Linked DNA regions of Alligator mississippiensis. The protein of the gene in region 1 interacts with the protein of each later gene in a biochemical or structural test. Links are inferred from orthologs where the notes say so. Each region holds a gene or a part of one and is shown in the gene's direction. Other genes may lie near its edges.

Evidence for each region.
Region 2: the proteins of RAF1 (region 1) and PHB1 form a complex in vitro, tested with the Homo sapiens proteins (2 studies listed by BioGRID). The link is inferred for Alligator mississippiensis from reciprocal best matches to the Homo sapiens genes RAF1 and PHB1.
Region 3: the proteins of RAF1 (region 1) and RASD2 form a complex in vitro, tested with the Homo sapiens proteins (2 studies listed by BioGRID). The link is inferred for Alligator mississippiensis from reciprocal best matches to the Homo sapiens genes RAF1 and RASD2.

Annotation. Positions count from the first base shown.
Region 1 is NC_081835.1:30,640,017-30,647,718, forward strand, and holds the start of RAF1 (RAF proto-oncogene serine/threonine-protein kinase), read left to right. Parts: upstream 1-4,622; 5' UTR 4,623-4,777; intron 4,778-7,702. UniProt on the Homo sapiens protein: Serine/threonine-protein kinase that acts as a regulatory link between the membrane-associated Ras GTPases and the MAPK/ERK cascade, and this critical regulatory link functions as a switch determining cell fate decisions including proliferation, differentiation, apoptosis, survival and oncogenic transformation.
Region 2 is NC_081827.1:168,772,597-168,779,881, reverse strand, and holds the start of PHB1 (prohibitin 1), read left to right. Parts: upstream 1-4,230; 5' UTR 4,231-4,325; intron 4,326-4,880; 5' UTR 4,881-4,915; coding exon 4,916-5,006; intron 5,007-6,238; coding exon 6,239-6,400; intron 6,401-7,178; coding exon 7,179-7,285.
Region 3 is NC_081827.1:101,485,030-101,493,102, reverse strand, and holds the start of RASD2 (GTP-binding protein Rhes), read left to right. Parts: upstream 1-5,018; 5' UTR 5,019-5,797; intron 5,798-8,073. UniProt on the Homo sapiens protein: GTPase signaling protein that binds to and hydrolyzes GTP. Regulates signaling pathways involving G-proteins-coupled receptor and heterotrimeric proteins such as GNB1, GNB2 and GNB3.

The DNA of each region.
Region 1 (7,702 bases):
CTGGTCCTTGAAAATCGGGGGGAGAAGGTGTAAATCTCGCACTGAGCCGTACCCATATCCACAGCAGGTCTCCAAGGTGAACAGCCTCTGGCATGTTAGAACAACCCATGCATTTCAATGGCTGATTTTTAGATTGTAGGATCCTTAGGAAAATAAACTGCCCTCCTCTATGTTGTATCTAAACAGTTACACTCTATTTAATAAAATAGTGAAAGCCTAAGATCTATCTACAGTATTTGATTGTAAAGATGTTGCACATAACTGGGAATAATAAAAGATAAAGCCTCACCAATTCCCTTCTGTGCCCCCATGATGAACTTATAGGCAGCCACAAGGTCGCCTCTCAACCTTCTCTTGCGGAGGCTGAAGGAGCCCAGGTGCCCTCGTCTCTCCTCATAGGGCTTGGCCTGCAAGCCCTTAACCATACGAGTGGCCCTTCTCTGGACCCTCTCCAGGTTATCCACATCCCTCCTGAAGCGCGGCGCCCAAAACTGCACGCAGTATTCCAACTGCGGTCTGACCAGAGCCCGATAGAGGGGAAGTATCACTTCCTTGGTTCTGTTCGTCATGCATCTGCTGATACACGATAAAGTGCCATTAGCTTTCCTGATGACTTCGTCACACTGACGACTCATGTTCATCTTGGAATCCACTAGGACCCCAAGATCCCTTTCCGCTTCCGTGCCTCCAAGCAGGTCATTTCCTAGGCAGTAGGTATGCTGGACATTTCTCCTCCCTAGGTGCAGCACTTTGCATTTCTCCTTGTTGAATTGCATTCTGTTGTTTTCCGCCCATATGTCCAACCTGTCCAGGTCTGCTTGTAGCTATTCCCTGCCCTCCAGCGTGTCCACTTCCCCCCACAGTTTTGTGTCATCTGCAAACTTGGACAGAGTACATTTCACTCCCTCGTCCAAGTCGCTGATGAAGACGTTGAAGAGTATCGGTCCAAGAACCGAGCCCTGCGGGACCCCACTGCCCACACCCTTCCAGGTCGATACCAACCCATCCACTATGACTCTCTGGGTATGACCCTCTAGCCAATTCGCCACCCACCGGACTGTGTAGTCATCCAAGTCACAGCCTCTTAACTTGTTCACCAGTATGGGGTGGGATACCGTATCGAAGGCCTTCCTGAAGTCTAAGTAAACGATGTCAACCCCTACTCCTGCATCCAGGTGTTTTGTAACCTGGTCATAAAACGAGACTAGATTAGTCAGGCATGATCTACCTGCTACGAACCCATGCTGGTTTCCCCTCAGCATAATTTTTCCTGCCGGGCTCTTGCAAATGTGAGCCTTGATAATTTTTTCAAAGACTTTGCCTAGGATGGAGGTGAGATTGACTGGCCTATAGTTGCCTGGGTCCTCATTCCTCCCCTTCTTGAAAATGGGGACCACATTGGCCCTTTTCCAGTCCTCTGGAACCTGGCCCGTGCGCCACGAGTGTTCAAATATTCCCGCCAGTGGCTGCGCAATGATGTCAGCCACTGCCTTCAGTACCCTCGGATGGAGCTTATCGGGCCCTGACGACTTGAACGCATCCAGTTCCTCCAAGTGCCTCTGCACCATCTCAGGGTCTATGCTTGGTAGTCTGGCATCCTGCTGCTGCCTCTCTACAATCCCAGTGAGAGCCTTGTCTTGCCCCTCGCTTAGGAACACTGAGGCAAAGAACTCATTGAGGAGTTCAGCCTTGTCCCCCCTGTCCATCATTAATTGCTTATGCCCATTTAGTAGAGGTCCTATTCCACCCTGGGCCTTCCTTTTACTCCCTATATATCTAAAGAACAATTTTTTGTTATCCTTAACTTGGGATGCCATCCTCAGCTCCATGGTAGCTTTGGCCTGTCTAACTGCCTCCCTACAAGCGCGAGCAGAGGAGGTATGCTCCTGTTTAGTAATCTCTCCCCATTTCCACCTTTTAGATGCCCCCCTTTGGATTTGTTAATACAAAAAGAATATAAAAAGGGTACAAATAGCCATGCTAGTGCAATTTTTCTTATTCAGTAATAGTTCTCTTGAATAGCTGCTTGGTTTTAATATTTTGATTTGTTCAAGTTGTCCTTGCAACCCTCTTTACCTTGGAGTTTTTTGTACCTAGTTTCACAGATACTGTATATTAAACATGGCAGAGGTGAGGCACACCTCTGTAAAGGTAATCTATTTTTAAACTAAGTAGTAAGATAATTTTGACTTAAGTACTAAGTTTCATGGAAGCTTTGTGAGAGGCAAAGGTCTTTGTGGGTAGTATCTTTCATTGGACTAACTATGTAGTCAGGAGGGACACAGACAAGCTTTTGGGTACTATGTACCATTCCTCAGGTCTCTAAGAAAAAAGCAGACAGCACAGCTAAATAGCAGATAATGCATGTTTAATATTTGTTACTAGTGGTACCTTTTGTTTTTGCCTTATGTATTCCTTGTTCATTCTTAGGCCTGTTAATTGATTTTATGTAGAAAAATTATAAATAAAAGTTACATAATTTGTTAAGAACAATGTTTTGCAAGTAATACTTTCCATGTGGGGAGCTCAAAGCAATTTACAAACTAAGTCTTGCAATGCTAATCAAATGAACTGAGGCATGGAGAAGTATAATACCAAGCTCTTATAGACAATAGATCTCAAAGCATTTTATGAAAGTGGTCAGTATATCTTATTCCCTTTTAACAGATGGGGAAGCTGACATACCAAAAGATGAAGTGACTTGCCCAGGATTACTTAACAGATCAGTGGCAGAGACAGGAATAACCCAGCTACCCTTAGTTTCATTCTAATTACTGACCACACTGTTTCTCATAGCAGCACAGAATGTTTCAGACAGACATCACACAATCTTGACATATATCTGAACTAATAACAGTATGAGTTATGCACGTATCAGATGAGAAATTCTGTATTGTACTGTAAACCCAAGCAAACACGAACATGAAATAAACTAGAAGTTACTAGCATTCATTCTGGATTGATTTATCTCAGAAAGTTACTTTGTTCTATTTCCTTGTTCCTTGTTTCTTATGTCTTGAAAAGGCTCTATTTCTTTACAGTATTATTTCACTGTTTAGCAGCCTAAAATTTGATTTACTTTCTTCCCTAACTCTATTAATTTGTTCAATCACTATGGTTTCATCTCACTTTCATAGCTTTAATCTTCTCTTTGTTGGAAATTTAAAAATGAATTAGCAGTCTGACACCAATAGTATTCTCCTTCCCTGAAATCACTTACCCTTTCTTCTTTTTTTTTTTTCCATGTTGTCATAATTTTACTTGCATTTTACATTTCCTTATTTAAAGTGAACTGTATATACTCTGGCAAAACCTTCCTCACAGACAGAATTGCAGCTAGTGTTATACAGACATACCTAGTTTTAAGTTGTTTAAGCATTCATTATATAATGTTTGTTTCTCTGGGCCGCATTTTACAGTCAGATATGTGCGTATAGCTCCTCTTAAGGCCATATGGCTTGTATACATGGATCTGAATCCAGAACTGGACCCATTTGGTTTAAAAACAGCATTTTAACAAAAAATACTGATTAAAAACTTTGGAGTACAACTCACATTTATAAATATCAGTTTTTGTTGTTGTTTATAATGATGTTGTTTATAAATGTGAACTGTTCTTCAGGTCTATTAAATGTAACTTTTGGTAAAATTGTGTGTTTACACCTAATGGCCTCAGTTTTGGCTTCAAATGCACATCTACAAGTCACAAGGGCTTAGGGAAGCTGACTGTGCATATCTGACTGCCAAATTTTCCGTGTGTTTGTCAGCATCTTGCAGCTGGTGACACCACATTGGTTTAATTTGTAGTTTGTCTTTTCTTTTATAGAACTAGGACTGTGGCAATTGTAAAGGGAGAATTGTACTTGTCTAAATGTGAAAGCTTTGCCAGTTATTCAGGTACACTATAACACTGGATGGACAATTTTGTTCCAGCAAGAGATCCTTTTTTGGTCTGATTTAAACCTTTTCCAAACCGATGTGAGCTAAACTAAGAAAAGGCCTTATGCTGACAGAAACGAGTTCACACACAGACGTGCAAGCAGAATTTAAACACGCTTTAGCTTGTATTGCTGTAAGCTTCAGGCGTAGATGTGCCCAAAATGAGTCCGGGGAAAAAAATCTCCCAGATACCCTAGCGTCAACCAGCTACCAATTAACTTAGTAGAGGTTGCCCCACCCATAGGCACAGCTAGGATTTTGAGAAGTGGGGTGGCAGATGCTGCAGAGGTGGATACAACCCACTGCTCCTTCCCCAGGGTGGATCCAGGAGAGACGCGAGGGGGTGCGGCCACGGACGGGCGCCCCTGCCGGGTAGCACGGGACCCTGCGGGGCGCCCTGAGCTCGGCGCTGCCTTCACTCCTCCCTCCTCTAGCCTGGGGGTGAAGGATGACTGGAAGGGAAGTGGGGAGGTCCCCGGGGCGGAGGTGCCCAAACCCCCGCCGGCTCCAGTCCCGCGCCTGCCCAGCTCCCGAAAGGCGGCCGCGCAACTGGGCAGGGCTGGCGGGTGCGCGCCATCGATGGCTCGGCGTTCCGCGGGGGGAGGGGGAGAGGAGCCCTGCGGAGCGCGGAGCGCATCGATGGGCCCCGATAAATGTCTGGCTCGGATTGAGGTCGCCATTTTAGATGGAGACCGGGGCGGGCGCCGAGTGAGGAGCGGGCGGAGGAGCGGCGGCGGCGGCGGCTGCGGCCGGGGGCAGTGAGCGCGGCCGGGGGTGGGGAGCTCCCTGCCCCCGGCTGGCGGGATCCCCCAGCCCCCGCTGGCCGGAGCCCCCGGAGGTGCGTGTGCGTATGCGCGCGGGGCGCGGCCGGAGCCCCTGGCGGCGGGTCCCTGCCGGGCACGGCCGCGGGGCGGGAGGGGGCCCGGCTCGGGTGGGGACGGCAGCGGGCCGGACCTCGCCTAGCCGCGGGGCCGGGCGCCTCTGTCTGGAGCGTCTCGCTAGCGTGGTTGCCTCTCGCTGAAGCCGGCGGCTCGGCTCGGCTCGCCTCGGCTTGGCCGGCCCGTTGTCCTTGGCCGGGCTCTTGCCGTCAGCTTAGCTCTGCGCCACGGAGCGAGGCTGTCTGTGGAGCAGGACCGTGGGTCGTGCCGTTGCGCAGAGCCCTGCCGACTCAAGGGCCCGCTGTCCACAAGTTTGATATGCCTCTAGTTAAAGCAGCGTTTCGCAAGGGTTGCAACCCAAAAGTGGGTCGCAGGAATACATGAAAGGGTCGCAAATAATCATGGAAGAACATAGAAAATCACAGATCTTCTTCGTTTAAAGGAGAAAAATGTGGGAAACCGCAGCTATCTCCTTGCAGGCTGGCAGGGGGCTCGCTACTTGAACCATTTACTGGGTGGTGACTGGCCATGATGTTTACAAATGAGTCCTCATACAAACAAGGTTGAGAACCACTGAGTTAAAGCATTCTCTTGCCTAACGTCTGTCGCCCATCAAGTTCTCAGGGACTCCTGCCTGGTCCCACCTTCTTCCTCAGTAGCTTTTGAGCAGTACCCAAACAGTGTAAGGGTCCCCCAGTTCAAGTTGCCCGAGCGTGTGTCTTGGAGGCACTCAGAAGCGTGCAGAGAAGAAGAATGTACTTTGCTCTCCTCCTTGCATGGTCTGATGGCTAAAAAATGTCTTGAGAGAACCTTTGTAAAAGGCTATTTTAATTCCTTTATTTTGGAAAGCCTGCAAATGTCTAATGGATTCATAGAACTGAACAGATACCAGTTGAATAATTGCTAGAGAGATAAATATGCTCACTTAGGGCTTGATGGCAGAAAAAAGTATATACGAATTAATTATTGGTATGACTTTTCAAGTTGCTTGGTTATGTTGGTTAAGTCTCTACCTCTCCTTCAGAACTGAAGTGAATGTAGTTTATCTTAACAAATTCAGTGTCTTTGTGTAAGCAGGCCATAGAAGATACTGTTTGTCCTTAAACTGACACATTTGTAAATTCTTCAACTGTTTCATGAACAAACCTGAACTGTTGTACAGTTTGTGGTGGTTACATGGAATAGCTAAGACTGTTGTCATGTCTTGCTCAAATTGGGACAGTGATGCTGGCTACATCTGAAGTACACAATTCATGCAGTTGATGTCTTCAGCACTAGACACTTTATTGTGCAGGAGAAGTAATTGACCCAACTGAAAGAGGAAATGCTGAAAGTACTGGGAAGAAAATGTGCACTGTTTTTTTCCACCTAAAAACGCATTCCTTTTTATCCACCTTTTATTTATCTATTTATTATATGCTTTTTTTTTCTCTTTTGAAAAATGAGCCTGTTGAGTTTAAATTTAGAAACTATGGCATTCTATCTTAAAGTCTACATATGCCGTAGTGGCGCACTGATAAAGGTTTTCTTGGCTGATACTGGTAGTCTATTATTAACCAACTGTGTCGGCCGCTCCGATAACTGATTCACTTTAAGATGCAACACATTTTGACGTACTGACACAATTTTTTTTGGCATGTTCCAGCATCACATGCATTAATGTCCTGGTGCTTAAAAATAGTGGTGCGCTGATGCATCAATCCATATTGTATTGGCACCAATAAGAGGTAAAATTGACATTATTGCCAATTTTTTGGGGGGGCTGATATGGCAGATAATGTCACTGATAAATGCCATGTGCATATGCGCAGCTGCAGCACGCGCTCAGCCAGCTCGGCAGTGTAACAAAGGGCTCTCTCTGGCCCGGTCCCCCATCAGTCTGCCCACCTGTTTGGGGCTAACCACCTGCCACACTTTCCTGCCATGCCTTGTTGTTTTATAATTGGTTCTTATCAGGTGGAAAGCTGCCCATTCTTGCCCTGATGCCAGGGAGTGCTCTCTGCAGCTCTGATCCTTCCCTACACTGCAGCCCAAACCTTGCAGATGGCATCCAGGTGACATACTCCCAGTCTACAGCCAGACCAAGCTTAGCCCTCATTGTCAGGCCTCATACATGCGCCCATACCTCATCTCACTTAGGGCCTTTCATGCTCCACCCCCTGTCAGGGTCTCTTTCACGCATCAAGAACTTATACTGCCTTGCTCCCTTTTAGAGCGGGTGCATTTGGCCATAGGTTTTATCTAGCACACACCTTGGGTGGCAGACATCACACACACCGGGCTCCACATCTTCTACCCCCTCACTGGGGCTTCCCTCCTTGGTGGGAGCTCAGGTGGCTATAGCCATGCATGGCCCCAGCTGCTACCCACAGTGATGTGGGGGCTAGAGTTATTGAGGCACCCCAGCCTACTTTCTACTGGGGTGGTATCTGGTCTGGTATTTTTGTGGAGGCTCCCACACTGCTGGGAGCCCCACCAGGCCACTCATTCTCAGCAGGGTGCAGTTTTAGGTCATGGCCAGGACCAAGAGCCTTCTGCAGATATTCTCATACAGCAGCTCAGCCAAGCAACATTTCTGCCTGGGCTGCCAGCAGCAATCTGCTCAGTTTATATAAGCAGCCAGTGTCTCAAAATGGCTGCTGAAATCAAGCACCTGCTGGCTGTTTGGCTTAGCCTTTAAAGTGGCAGGCACCAACAGTGCCTTGCCACAGGAAGCGTGCAGAGTAGCATCTTGCTGATAAGTCTGTTGGGGAGGGAAAAGTTGGGGGGGGGGGGCAACCCATCCCCAGGAAGAGTCTGATGCTGGCCCCAGCCCACCGCAGCAGCCTGCCCTTACCCCCACGCACGGGGGGGGGGGGGCACGTGCCCCCCATGGCTCCTCCAGG
Region 2 (7,285 bases), on another chromosome or scaffold:
CACACTGGCAGGCAATGGGCAGGATCCTTTCGAAAAGATGATTCTCCTCTCTATGTCCACCCCTGAGCACCAGGTCACACCCCAGACTCTACAGTGCTGTTCTTCCTTCCACCATGCATCATCCTGGCTGGACTCCATAGTGACAGGCATGGTAAAAACAATCTAGATCAGCAGATGGCTCTGTGTTTCCTTCCAGCCCCACTCTACCAGCTGCCGAGATCTGAAAACCACTCAGTTGTGCCAAGTGCTATATCATCTCCAGGCTGTGTTCTTTCATGCCACATGGTTCTCACCTGCTTCAAATCTCCCTCCCCTGCCATCCCCAGGCAATGTATCTAGGCCCAGTGCCCAGATGTGCCAGCCACCTTTGTATCATGGCTCCCTTGTTATCAGTAACTGCAATATTCTACCCTTCCAATACCAAATTCCTTTGCACTCTCCTGAGCACCCACCTGCAACAACCCCCATTGGAATATCCCAGCATTGTTTACCAAGTCAGCTTCTCCTCAGTCCTCAAAGCCCACCACAGTCTTATGGTACAAGAACTGCACAGTCCCTAACTCCTGCCCCCAAAATTCTGGTCAGCCTACATTAAGGTTGTTCCTAGGCACTGTCACCTGCAGCAAACACCACAGAAGGTTAACTCAGGTGCAACTAGGAAATTTTGTGCCCTGGGCAACATAAATCTTGCACCCCTTCTAAGATAGCACCTGGGGCTGGTGCCCTGCTCACCCACCCCTAGTAAGGTTACTGGGTTAATTATTAACCTATTTGCCTGATCTCTTGCTGTCCATCACCCTGGACTTCAATCTATCTCCCAGTCACCACCTATCCAATGCAAAAAGCATCCTTAAAGACTTACAAGCCAAGCACCTTAATAACTTGCTTGCCCTACGAAGTCTTCTTACATCTCAGAATGGTCCCTACTGTGAAAATTGCTTTGCTTTTAAAGAACATCTTGCATTCCCCTCTCTCCTCTGTGAAACATCCTTTCACTCCCCTCCACTATGAAAACACCAGTTTCTTAACACCTTTCTACCATTACCTTTTTCTGCATATTGGTGCCCCTTCCCAGTTTATGCTGGAAGACTCTAGGAGTAAACAGAAGTGCAGCTCCCCAGTCTAACTCATGGCACTTCACAGAAAGCACCAAGAGTTAGACTGATCCTCCCAACCCAACAGATGTTAGCTGCTGAGCCAGGAGGGTGGGGGATCGAGCTCCAATTTGGAGCTGATCCAGCAAGAGAGACTGTCTCTGCAGCCTCTTCTCCTAGCCCCACCCTCCCTCTCCCTGCCCTGGTGCTGTCTCAGGATGGGAGTGGGGAGAAGGGAGGGGAGGGATCTTGGGCTGCTGTTTGCCCAGCCTGTGCTAGAGTAGGGATGGATAGGAAACTCCAATCCAAGGTTCCCTCCCATCCTTTCTCCCCCACTCCCATCCTGAGACAGTGCTGGGGGCGGGGTTGGGCTGCAGCAGCCCAGCTGCCAGAGCAGACACAAGTTAACGAAGGCACTCCATTTTGGAGCACCTTCATTTGAACCCTCATATAATGAAGGATAATTTATTGTGCAATGGGAGCACTGTGAAGCTGTGCTCTTCTATTAGGTTATGGCTGTAGAGTGCTTTCTAGGATCTGTGGCCCACATGGGTCAGATTTCCAAAACGCTCAGTGTCAGTTTTTCCAGCATGCAGCACCCATGGGTGGGGCCAGATTTTCCAAAGAGTTCTCCTATTTAAGTACCTATATAACAACCACATTTTCAAAGGTGCTCAGCATCCAGCAGTACCCACTGGGACACAGAGGAGCAGATTTTCAAACAGGCCATCAATGTTCAGGTTAAGTTTGGCCATTTTTCCCTTTATCTTGCAAATCAAGGGCAGTGACACTTCCACTCAGTTCAGCACTGGTGAGGCTTCACCTGGAGTACTCTGTCCATTTTGGGGCCTCACACTTCAAAAATGTGGACAGTTGGAAAAAATCCAGCATAGAGCAACAAAATTATTGGCAGCCTATGAGAAAAGGCTAAAAGAATTAATGGTATTTAGTTTAGAGAAGAGAAGACTGCAGGGGGATTTGATAACAGTCCTCAAATACGTAATGAGCAATTACAGAGAGGACAGAGATGGGCTTTTCTCTGTGGCCATAGGGAACAGAACTAGTTTAGGTTGAAGATTAGGAAGAACTTTCTGACTATGAGGGTGGTCAAGCATTGGAACAGGCCACCGAGAGAAATTGTGGAATCTCCATCCTTGGAAATTTTCAAGAGCAGGTTGGACAGACACTTGGCTGGGATGGTTCAGTCAGGGACAATCCTGCCTTGAGCAGGGAGCTGGACTAGATGACCTTGTGAGCTCCCTTCTAGCCCTACTTTCCTATAAGCTCTTTGAGCAGCTCCCTTATAGCCAGTTTCAGTTCTTTCCATCCCAGAACAGATCTAGACTAGTTTCTAATAAACCTTCCAGCAATACTGCAACATGCAACCGGGTCCTGATTTTAGAACTGGATTGGCAAAACATCCCAGGCCCAAGTGTTTGCTGGCACATATGACAGGCACACGCTCCTGAAGCAACAGGATAGACATTTGCAACGACCTATGATTTTGCTCTTTTAATATATACAGGGAGCCCCTGTTCCTTCATCCCCATGATCTAGTGTTTCTCACTGCAATTATCTAAGCAGCAAAGTAAGCAGTACACTAGATTTAGGGCCAGCAATTTCCCAACTAGACAGAAAGACTTTGAGGCAGTGAAGGCACCATGACCTTTTCTGGGGCTCCATTTACCCTCCAGAGAATTAAGATCAGGGCACATGGGGGTGCTGCAATACGAGAGGGCTTCCCTGGAAGGGAGGGAAATTGGAGCATGACTCTGTTGGGGCCCCCAGCCCATGCAGGCTGCAGGGTCTGGACCACAGATGGGCAAAATATGGCCTATGGGTCAGATCTGGCCCACCACCTGACTGAATCTGGCCCACAGCTGCCCCTGCAATGTTCCATATGGGGCTGAGCCCTGCTGGCTCCTGCTGGGGCAGCCTACACTGCGTTTCCACCTGCGCCTGCTGGTCCAGGCCCTGACTAGTGTGCTCAGCTTCTGGCATGAATGACACGTGCCCCCGGCAGCTGGGGGGGCATGGCTGCACTGGCAGCGGCAGGAGCGCTGCAGCAGCAGCAGCAGGAGCACAGTGGTGGTAAGAGCAGAGCTCACACAGATGCCACCAGTGCTGTTGGCGGTGGACAGGGAGCGCCGACCAGGGATCGGCAACCAGCTGCAGGCACTGCTGGCAGTGGTGGCAGTGGCCAGCAGCAATCGTAGACCCCCCACAGATGCCACCGGCAGTGTCAGTGGCAGGGTGGCGAGCAGCGATTGATGGTGCCTTTTTCTAGGGGGTGCACTACCACGCTGAGGGGGTGCCCGTGTAGCCACATGCATGCCCTATGCGTCACCCCTGGCTTCTGGGAAGGCTGTTCCCAGTGCTGCTCTGCTCCCCTCATCTCTAGCAGGAGCCACCTTGCTGAAGGTTCCTGCCAGCCCACCCAGAGTAGCGCAGCCAGGGCAAAAGCGGAGAAGCTGCTGCTGGCAGCAAGGGAAGCAGAGCAGCACCCAGTCAGCTGCGGCCACCTGGGTGTTGCTCTGATCCCCTCCCCTCCAGTGGGAGTTCCTCTTCTTGCTTCTTCCCCTGCCTTGCCCTCTGGGCAGGTGGGAGGGAAGCTTCAACAGGGCAGTTCCTGCTGGAGGTGAAGGGAGCAAAGCAGCACCCCATTGCCTGCAGCAGAACAGACCAGCTAGAAGCTGCACATTGGCTAGGGCTAGGCTGACGAGCACAGGTGGGAGCGTGGCATTGGCTCAGCCCAGGGCAGGGCTTGGTCCCATGTGGAGCGCTACAAGTGGGGGGGCAGCCTCCCTCTCCTCACCCCAGGCTAGCTCCCAGGTCCTAGAGCTCAGGCAGCATCCCCCCATATACTTGACCCCCCATATATATCTGGACCAAGGTGCTCTGGCGCCCGGCTCACGGCCACGAGACGGGGCAGCCAGGAGCCCCCGCCAGGCTCTTTGGCACTACCACGTGGCTTTGCCCCAGGCGAGACTACAATTCCCAGCGGGCCCTGCGCGTGGCGTGGCGCCGGCCAATAGAAGAAGACGTTCCTTCGCGGAGCGACACCTTCTGGGAGTGGTAGTCCGGGGGCGTGGAGGAACGGGCGGGAGAACTGCCAGTCCCAGCATGCCGCGGACCTGCGGGAGCCAATGAGAAGCGAATATGTTGGGGCTGCGCATGCGCGCCATCTCAGGTGGTTGGCGATTCATGTGGAGGTCAGAGTCGCGGCTGGAGGTGAGCAGGCGGCGTGCCGCGGCCTGCGGGGGGACGAGCCTGGGCGGGAAAGTGTGCCCGGCCCGGGGGGCGGGAGTCCCGCTGGGGGGACTGGGGAAGAGGGTGCAGCCCGGGGGTGGCCGGGGAGGTGGAGGGAGTGGTGTTGAGGAAGAGGCTCCTCGTGAGGCGGAGCGTGAGGGCTGGTTCTCCTCGTTTTGCTCAGACCTGCCCCTGGTCATGGGGATCCAGGGGGCTGTGGTTTGGGGCAGGCAGGAAGGCCCCGGGGCACTTAATCCATCTCCGAGGCAGCTGTTCTCGCTTCTTTTTAGACATGGGGCAGCTCTGGATGGACACAAGGCCCTCTTGGAAAGTGCCAGCTCTGTTTTCACTTTTTTTGTTTCAGTCACTAGAAAAATAGATCTCTTGAGTTTATCTTGTGAAACACATTTGTCTTAACCTAACAGCGCTCGCATTGTGTGGCACCCCACAGCCCCCTCGCACGGAGCTCGAGGAACCCCTGGGGGCTGTGGTCTCTTGGTTGAGAATTGCTCTAACAATGTTGCTGGGTTTTTGCAGGTGTGAGTCTTCAGAGACGGGCATTGGATTGACAGATGGCTGCCTCCAAGCTGTTTGAGACTGTGGGGAAAATTGGCCTGGGGTTGGCCATTACAGGAGGAATTCTCAACTCTGCTCTCTATAACGGTGAGCAGAAGAGGCAGAGCTTTTCCTTTTCTGCTGACATGTTCAACTTCACAAAGTCAGGTGTAAAGTTAGAGGGAAGTAAACACATCAGGGGGCTTTGCTGATTCCAAAGTGTGTTGGAAATAGCTCTGTGCTGAAATAATTTCTGTTTCCTTAAAATAAATGCAACCAAGGTGTTTGTGAAAAGGGTACGGTTAGGCTAGTTCTTATGATACTTTAAGGACTGGGAGATCCAATGGGTTGGTTTTCTTGCCCTTGATCTTAATTTTCTCTGCCCCTTAGCACCTCTTACACTAGGGCTTGAACTTTTATCCTTGACCCCTTTGCTGATTTGCTTGTTTGCTTTGATTCAGGTTGTCAAACTCATCTGACCTGTGGGCTGGATGAGGGGCACGGGACTGGTCTGCAGGCCAGATCAGACCTATGGACCCCCTCCCCCAGCATACCTAATGTGCAGCTGTTCCAGCTGGTCTGGAACATATACCACATGCAGTGCAGATCCTAGAGTGGTCAGAATGGGAGCTGTGTGCAGCACAGTCTGTCTGGAGCTGCAGCAGTGCTGCATGCAGTGGCCACCCTAGCCAGACTGCACCACACTTGGCATCTGCTCTGGCAGTTCCGTGACTGCCCTGTACATGGCACCTGCTCCAGCCAGTCTGGGACCTGTGTTGTATGCGGTGCCTGCAAGCTCCACATGCAGCACAGATCCTAGACCGGCTGGAGTTAGCATCGTGTGTGCCCTGCATCGCAGAATGGCACCATGTGGTACAGTCTAGCCTGATCAGCCACCTCAAGCAGGCTGGCTGCTGCTTCAGATGGACTGTGTCTCACACAGCATCTGTTCTGGCTACTCTGGGATCCATGTCACAGGCAGCACAGTTCCCAGACTGGCTAGAGCAACTGCCAGATCAGGTATGCTGGGAGGGGGAGAAGAGGAGGGGGTCCATGGGCCTGATCAAGCTGGTTAACTGGCCCTGTGCCATGATGTGCCTTGTGTAGGTCTGATCAGACTGGGGGACAGCACTGGTGTCCAGGTGGTGGACTTTGCAAGCCAGGTGTGTTTGACACTACTGTTTTAAGGCAAGCCATTCATTAGCCCCCTGAGGGAAAGACAGCGTAAGCAATATTGCTAAGTTTTTGGTATGCTCTTTGGAAAATATACTTTGAATGCATGCTCCCAAAATGATAGGTTGCTGTCATTAAGCTGTGCGTGTTATGCTCTTTTTTTCTAGTTGATGCGGGCCACAGAGCTGTTATTTTTGACAGACTCCAAGGCGTTCAAGATGTGGTAGTAGGGGAAGGCACACACTTTCTCATTCCCTGGGTACAGAAACCAATTATTTTCGACTGTCGTTCTCGCCCGCGTAATGTTCCTGTCATCACTGGCAGCAAAGGTAAGTGTAGTCTCATAGCTGCCAGTGGACCAGAGCAACATTGATGTCATTCGCCATGGTCTCTGAGTGCCTTTATTAATTAGAATACAATCCAGCAAAAATATTGAGATCTTTGTCCTCCCTCTGAAGGTAATGGGAAGAAAAAAAATTCTTAGGCCCCTGTCAAGATAGTGCTTTAAGGAAACAGGACCCCTGTAATTAAAAAGTTACAGCCACGTAAAATGGTAGTTCATTGGAATACCTCTGATCACAAGTTCTTGAGTGTTTTGTTGCTGTTGGATTTCTTAGTAAAGTCAGCTAACAGATGGGGAAGAAAATGGCAGGCCTTGATTTTGCATGGTCTATTTCTTTACCAAAACCCATCAGATTGGAGCATTGTATTATCTCTTTGGGGACCCCCAAACGCTTGAGATCGATCCAGCATGTGCCATGAAATGGACTGTGCTATTCTATAACTAGTCTGATCTGTAATAAGGGAGCTTGCTTCAGTTTGATCAGCCATCCCTTAAAAACAGTTTCTCTATTTGCATGAAAAGATGAATAATTCCCCATCCCACATGGAAGAAAGCACTTAAATTATGTTTCTGGGGGATCATATCCCTTGGTGAAAGGGGGACAGTAAAAAAACCAAACTGGCAGGAGTGAAGCTTGCCACTGAATATGCCAGGTGGCAAAACTCTGAATCTGCTTGTCCCTCTTTAGCTACTAGGGAGAGAGTTATCTCTGGATATCTCTTGTCCCTCTGCTTTGCCTCTAAGTTACAAATCTGTCTCTGCAGACCTGCAGAACGTGAACATTACTTTGAGAATCTTGTTCAGACCAGTTGCCAACCAGTTACCTCGGATTTTCACAAGCATCGGGGAGGACTATGATGAACGTGTACTG
Region 3 (8,073 bases), on another chromosome or scaffold:
CAGGGGCCACCACCCCTGCAGTTTTCACCCCACTATGGCTTAACACATACACGTGACATGAGTTTTGTTTTCAAGAATTTGGGGTGCATTTTCCCCTGAAAACTTGTCAGGCTTCATGCTCTCAGCAGAGCCTACCACCCCTGCAAGTGTCATCCAAATCAGACAAAAAACAACAAAGTTATAGATATTTCATTGGTTCCCCATTAGAGCCTATGGCCGGATCTATGAAGCTGCTCCAAAGCTTTTCCGGAAAGCCAAACGAAGCCAGCACTTTGATCTGGACATGCTGCTTCGGATGCCAAAGTGTCCGAAGCGTCTCCGGATCTGAGGCACGGTCTGAAGCCTCGCACAGCCCTAATGTTCAGACTTATGGCCAGCCAGTATCTGGAAAAAAGAAAAGTTATTTTGCAGGCCCTATCAAGTAAAATGGCTGCTGATTTTGTTCAATTACAATTAACTCTCTTAAAAACTATGCACTTCCCCACCATGCCTTGTACTTTAGCCCCAGGCTAGAAATCCACATTGCAGACACTATCATTATGACCAAGAAGAGTTAGATAGACCTCTCTTTAGAAACTGCTGACCTCATTCACCAACTAGTCTTAGAGAGACAAAAATTGAAAGTAATGTTCTCTAATTGGTTGGGGGGAGAGAGTTATATATTTATTTCATCTTGGCTATAACCTTAACTTCCTTCATTGAGATCCACCCACTAATGTGGACCTCTGTACCATACTGAATGTACTTCCATTAAACAGTACCAGGAAAGCAGAGAGCCATGAAATGTGGTTTCCTTACACACTTTAGTTAACTTTACTTTCTAGATCACAGCTTATCTGTCTGACATTCTTAAAGGACTGTTGCCATTGCTGTAGCATCTGAGCTCCTCAGGATCTTCAGTACATTTATTTTCATAATACCTACGTGAGATAAGGAAGTGCTATCATTCCCATGTTATAGATGGAAAGGTGAAATATAGTAAAACTGAATCATGTGGCCAAAGGCACATAGGAAGTCTGTGGAGAGGCAAAGAGTTTTTCAAGTCTGACCTCCTGAGCACCAAGTGAGTACATAAAGCACTGAGCCATCCTTCCTCTTCTCATGACTTGATGAGCTATGAACAGAAACAACAATATAAATAAAAAATGCAAATGACATTCTTCGAATGGTTTGAAGAATTTGTGTTGAACTATTAGCTTTACTTGTATGAATAGTTCATATTTCATTAATCATAAGATGATATTAAGTGGATCCCAATGCACTTGATGTTGTCTATCCCCCATAATTATCTCTTGGTATAATTTGGAGGAACTACTTTGAAAACCCATAGTTTGGAGGACATTTTATCCCATCTAGATTCCCACCAAGCAATTATCGTTATGGTATCTGAGTGCCTTCAGCAAAAGATAGCCAAGTCTTTGGTTTTGACCTGGCTAGGCAAGTTTTTTGAGCTGTAACCTTGCTTTTATCTATTTCTTCTGGACCTGCATTTGGTTTAAAATAGAGTTTTAGTAAGGTTAGATATCAGGATAGTGACATAACTGGAATCCTGGCTACACGGCAGAGACTTCCTTTGATAAGTGAGGTGGAGCCTCACCAGAACAGACTAATCCCTCAAACATGCTTAGTATAGGCATACTTGAGTGAAAGGAGAGTTAATTCACCATAGCCTTCTGGCTCTTGACTTTGCTGCTACTGCCAGTGACGTTTCTTTTATCATGCTGACTTTGTGATGTCAATCCTTGTCTAGTAAGACCTGAGCTGAAGGCCCCTATACTCATTTTATTTAGACCACTGAATGAATAGCTGTAAGATCTGACAGATTTTTAGTTGCTACTGACTCATTGGGCATGTCTGCATGTGCAAATGCTGCTGGATGGGTTTACTCTGCAGTAATTTACTGCAGAGTAAACTCAGCCTGGGCAGACATCTACACATGCAGGCATTTGGGAGCAGATTTGCTCCCAATAGGAGCAGCCTCAACAGGGCTGCTCCCACCCTGCTCTGTCTCCCTGCAGCAGCCATGGGGAGCTCTAGGCTCCCTCTGGGTGCTAGTCCAGGGGCTGGCAGGGAACAAGGCCAGGAGACAGTTGTCTTCTGGGGGAAACTGGGAGATTGCTTCCTGCCTCCAGGAGCTGCCTGCTGCCAGCATGGGCTCCAATGGCAAAGCCTGAGCTAGGACAATGTCTCCCTGCCCTGGCAGCAAGGAACTCCCGGCCCCAGCATCCTGATCAGGGGCAAGGGGCTTGGAAAGAGCTGCAGGGGAGGGGTTGGGATCTACCTCTCCCCCACAGCTATTTCCAAGCCCCATGCCTTACTTGCCTGATCAGGGAATGAGGCTGGGAAAGAGCTTCAGGTCTGGGACTTGTCCCAGACCAGGACAGTTTCCAGCCAGCTCTGGACTGCATGTGGAGACTTCCCTAATAGCAATTGTGGAGCTGGAGCCAAGAACTCCCTGCTGTCAGGGGAGGGGGACATTGTCCCATCCCAAGCGTCTCTACCAGAGCCTGCCCCGGCAGCATGCAACTCCCAGGGGCAGGGAGCAATCTCCTGCCCCCTTCTGCCTGGCTTACTGGGAGCAAATTTGCTCCCACTCGGCCAGCTACATATGCCTTACTGCACAGTAACTACTCTGAAGTTAATTTACTAAGTGCTATTGCAGGTAGCAAATTAACTGCGGAGTAGAGCAAATTACTGCACAGTAAGCAACTGCGCATGTAGATGGTGATGCTTATTGCACAGTAATTTTCTCTACTGTGCAGTGAAGTGTCTCATGTAGAGGTGCCCATTGTCAGTTTGATCTGGTACACCAGAAGTCAGGGTTGTCTTATGACAATTAAATAACAATTTCTGAGCTACCAACACCCTACCACACTGTGTGCCAAGATGGAAGGTTTGACTCAATGGAAGAGACTGTCATTGAAGAAGTCCTAATATCCCTCTGAAGGGAGCTGAATTTATGCAGTGACTCACCACCCATTACTGTACATTATAAAGGAGTTAGAAGGGACTGGCAAACAGTAGCCATGTACATACAGCAGTGTATGGGTACACGTGACCAGATGTCACCTGCTTCAGAGATGACTGATTATGCACAGGTTAGGTGCGTGGGCCTAACAGAGCAGGAAAATGGTGGTAGGGACAGTATAAACAATCATTTTATGTAGAAAGCGGTCTTCCTACAGCATGAAGAGATCAGGAACTTTAGGAGTGTGGTCTATGAGAGAACATGGATTCATGTATTGGTCCTGAGTCAAAATGAAGTTACCGATTTGAATGAAATTTTTCAATTTATAGTAAATTCTCTGAAACAAGGAGTGACAGGGCAACTGAAACTAGTTATGAATTTGAATTAAATTTGACGAATAATTTCAGGTGTGTGCGGGCCGGGAGCAGTCCGAGGCTTTTGGGGGTGCGCGGTGGGCTGTGGCCAGCAGCCCTGGCACGTGGGTCGGGAAATTCGGCACGGCGGACTAGAATTAGGCACGGATGCGTAGCGGTTGATTAAAGATGATGTTACTTACACCGTAGATGGTTGCGGTGCAGGCAGGAAAAAGCTTCGCTTAAGTTGCAGTTACAAAACTCGCTCAAACAAGACCCATAGAAAACTCGAGCCTCTTAAACCCGGAAAGAGCTCTGGATACACACACACATGAAGTTTGCTAGGCTCCGTGGACCGAGCGCGCAGGGAAGGGTACGTCGAGGGATCTGGCGGCAACGGGAGAGGCTAGAGGTTGATCAGGCCCCTATATCCTTCTTAAGGCACACGCTGGGTTTGTTAGGCTCCACAGCGCTTAGAGTTCTTCACGAGATGGATGTGGAGTCCTCCTAAATGAGGTCCTCCCCGGAGATCTCCAACTTGGGCGGAAACCGCTCAAGCCTCTTATACGGCTAGCAAGCCAATCGCTAGCCGCCACGTGGGAATAATTTAGAAACAGCCAATAGTGGGACACAAATTTGCATGCGAATGGCGGGAACTACTTTGCACCGGGGTTTTCTCTATGCAACTGAGAATTGCACCGTGCAAAGAAAGCTCCCCGTGGCGGGAAATAATTCTGCAGTGCCGAAGCGCACACACAATCATACCCTTGGGTCATGACAAGGTGAAAAGGGAGTAAAGAATATTTTTAAATGTCCCAGGATTCCTTTCTACATTTTTAAATGAAATATTTCATTTTGGATATGCTGAATCATTTCATTCCAACATTTTCTAAGTGAAACTTCAGGAATGAAAATGTTTTAAATTTAGAAATTGTTCTAAAATTAAGAAAAAAATGATCAAAAGGGGTCAAAGAACCACCACGTGAAAGAGCACATTTCATTTTGAAGTGGCTGAAGTGTTTTGGGTTGTCCCAAAATGAATATTTTTAGTTTCTATGTTGAACCCCACCCCCACACCCCCAAAACAATCTGTTTCACTTTTATCTAAATCAGTATTTTTCCCAAGTTTTATGTTTGCCCACCAAAATAAAAAAAAACATTTGTCACCCAGTAATAATTGTAAGCCATTAAATGTTTTTTAGACTTATTCTTAGTTCTTAATCAGAACGAACTGCATTCCTAACAGCTGCAGTGTCTCCGGGTGGCAAGAGTTTGTTATATCTCAAAAAAAGATGACAAGAAATTAGTGACAGAAAACCTCTATTTAGTTAATGAATCAGCCCAACTCTCTTTAAAAGAAAACAGTAAAACATTAGAAGGGAAAAACTGTGGTTTGAAAAAACTCATGAACTTACAGCCTGTACAATAACAGGAATCATAGCACTCTCTCTCTACCTCTCTCTCTCACACACACATATGCAAGTACACGTGCACGTGGACACACACACTCACTCACCATATGCACATGCATATGCACATGCTTGCCTCCTGTAGGAAGGAAGAAACTTCCTGGTTTGGAGTGCCCAAGAACTTCGTGTAAAAAAGGGCTTTCAATAAGCACTAGATCCCACCTCCTCTGTAGTCTGTACCCCTCCCTCTACTGTCTCTGACACTGACTTTGAAGGAGGAGTGAGCCAATTGTCTGTGAGTCCTACAGAAAGAAAACCTGCAACTTAACAGCTACTGAGGGAGAGGGAGAGAGAGGCAGGGAGGAAGAATCAATAGAGAAATTATAAAATATAGAGAAAAGAAAAGCCCCTTCTGGATGGGAAAGAGAACACTTTAAAAGAAATCTCAGATCAGGAAAAAGAATCTATTCATTTTTTCTGTCTGGCTTTTTTTCTATTGCAGGAGTGAGAGGCGCACTTTCAAATCTGCTGTCTTAAGACATTTTCAAGCCCTCCTTTTTACTGTGAATTACTCCCCTTTATCTATTATTTTGAGGTTATGTAAAAACAGTATGGGTCGGCTCAATGTACTCACTAGCCTCAACGGCTAGATGTCGCACCCGAGGCCCCTTTCACCCCAACAAGTCTATGAATTGCAAGTTGCAAGAAAAGCAAGTGGGAGTAGGAGACAGCTTTTTTCCTTAGCGTGAACTGAGACTGTCAGGAGAAGAGCACATCTCACCAGAGGGGGAAAGCTGCTGTGGCTCTATAACCTGACTTTGGATCATGTCAGTCTTCTGATCCAGTAAATATCCTCCGGGGGACCATCCCCTGGAGCACTCCCTCCAGTCCTTCTCCCTCCAGTTAGGGTGCTAAAGTGATGCTGAAAAACTGAGCCCAGCTCAGCCACTTGGGATCTGGAGAACAGCAGCTTTTTCCAGCAGCAGCAACAGCCTCTGATAAAAAATCATCCAGACAGCTGCAGGAACTGCACTACAATTCAGGACTTTTCCTCCAAAGAAAGAAAGGTAAGGGAGTGACAGCGAACCTGACATTAATGTAGCCGGGAGACAAACACCCTACAGAAATTAATAGTGGTGTGCATGAAAATGAAAGGGAGTCCAGGACTTTTCTAACCATTGCCCGGTCTGTTATATGCAGCTTGCTTTGCTTCTTTTTAGCTAGATGCAGTAGACCATTTAGGGCTACTAAACAGAGAGAGAGAGAGGTACACTGGCTGGTTACTATGGACAGTGACACACTGGAATATGTTTAATGGATGGTCAGGAGAGGGGAATATATCCAAATCATCATTCAGGTGCTGAAAACCAAAATGTAAATGCTCTGCGGGGCAAGTTTAGATGCAGGTTTACTATCTTCATTCTGTTTCTCTGATCTGGTGCAGAAGTTCAGGTTATTCAACGCCTCACTGGAATTTAAGTTAAATCTCTGGCACTGCAGGAATGCACTTCCTGGCTTCAATTTGCAAAAAGTAGCCTAGCTCAATATTAGGGCAGGGTGATGAGAGTCAGGAGACCTGGTATTTCATCCTCACCCTGTCACTGGCTCACTCTTAGATCTCAGGAGAGTCCTTTAATCACCGCTCGCCTCAGTTTCCTCCTCTGTGTAAGGGGGGGGTAAAATTAATTATCTACCTTTGCCAAACAGTTTGAACCCTGGGCTGGAAAGGCCTATGGAAGTGCAAGTCATATATAGTGGTTTGTTATCCCTAAGTCTGTCCACAGAGTTAAAGGGACAGCTGGGAACTAATCTATTCTTAAACCTTTAATAAACTTGAAGGGAGGATGTAGATTAAAACCAGCTGGTGGTTGTTTGTTTGTTCCTCTCATTCCCTTCTGATTGATTTTATTTTATTTAGTCCATGCCCATGTGGTCCCTTTCTATTTCCCCTTTCCTGCCTTTAATCTTTCCCAATGTTGGACTCCTCTGCGTCCCCAGGGGGGCTTGAATTTAGCCTCTTTCTAAGGGTGGGAGAGGAAAATGGTTTGCTTTACTGTGGCGGTGCAAAGAGGGAGCCTGCAAGGGCAAATGCGTACTCCTGGTACTGCAGCACCCTAAAAGTCAGACTTACAATGGAGGTAATTAGAGAAATGGTGGTTACAGGCATCAAAGGGCTGAAAGACTCTACTGTGCCCCAGACAAAATGCAGGCAGGAAAGCGCGGGAGGCTCTTCAATGAGTAACCACAAGGGAACCAAAAGATTGCAGTTTAAATTAATAAAATCTGACTCTGTTAGGGAAGATCTGCCTGCAGCTACCTCTTCCTCTGACCCTAAGGGCACAGCCATGCCTCAGGCAAAGCCTTATGAATGAGATGTACCTCTCTGTGTGCACATGCAATGCAGTTTTGTCTTGCTCAGGAGGGGAGGCACTGTGGTCTAGGGATTAGAGTTAGGATGGGGGGTGAGAGAGTCAGGAGATCAGGTCTTGTACCCAGCCCTGATTTGTTTGACCTTGGAGAAGCCCTTGAACCTCTCTGTGCCTTTGTCTCCCCATCCATAAATGAGGGATGAAGGTAATACTTTCCTCTCATTCTGAAGGAGGAATTTATTTAAAAGCTTTGAAAACTTCAGTGTTATTGAAATGCAAAGGATGTTGCTGTTGTTAATTTATTCTATCTTTCATGCCCAGGGAAGGGGGGGAAATGGAGCTCCTCCTGCATGTTTGGATAGAAATAAAAAGTGGATAGTATATGAGGCATTTCCCAGTAAAATACTCTACCATGCTTTATCTAGTTTATTAACTGACCTAAACTAATAGGGTTTTCCCTGGTTCCCAAGACACAGTGCTCTGTGGATTATTAGCCTTGACAGCTAGGAATTTTTCCTTCATATTCATCCTAAAACATATACTGCATACAGCTGCATCAGAAATCCCCCTGAGTGAGCCAGACAGATAATAGATTGATTTCAGTGAAGAAAGCTGAGCTGTCTGATTTCAGGAGGGAAAGCTGATAGGAATGGGTTATCCAGTACCAGCCCTAGGCATCCACTTAGAGGAGATGCAACAACAGAAGCTGCTACCATTGCCACACATGTCACTACTGCCACCCAGGGCAGAGACCCTGGTAGTTTAGTCTCTGGGTTATCAATAAAGTGACACTTCCCAAACAGAGCTGTATTAAAAACCAGTGCATCAAAGACAAAACTGATGTGGTTTTTTTTTCCCCAACTGGATCCAAACCTAAACAATCCTCTTTCAACCAGGTCACTTGTTTGCTTTTGGCCTTTAGTTCATCTTGAAGAACAGAAGTCCGTTCTTAACTCTCCAGAAGGGTTCATATT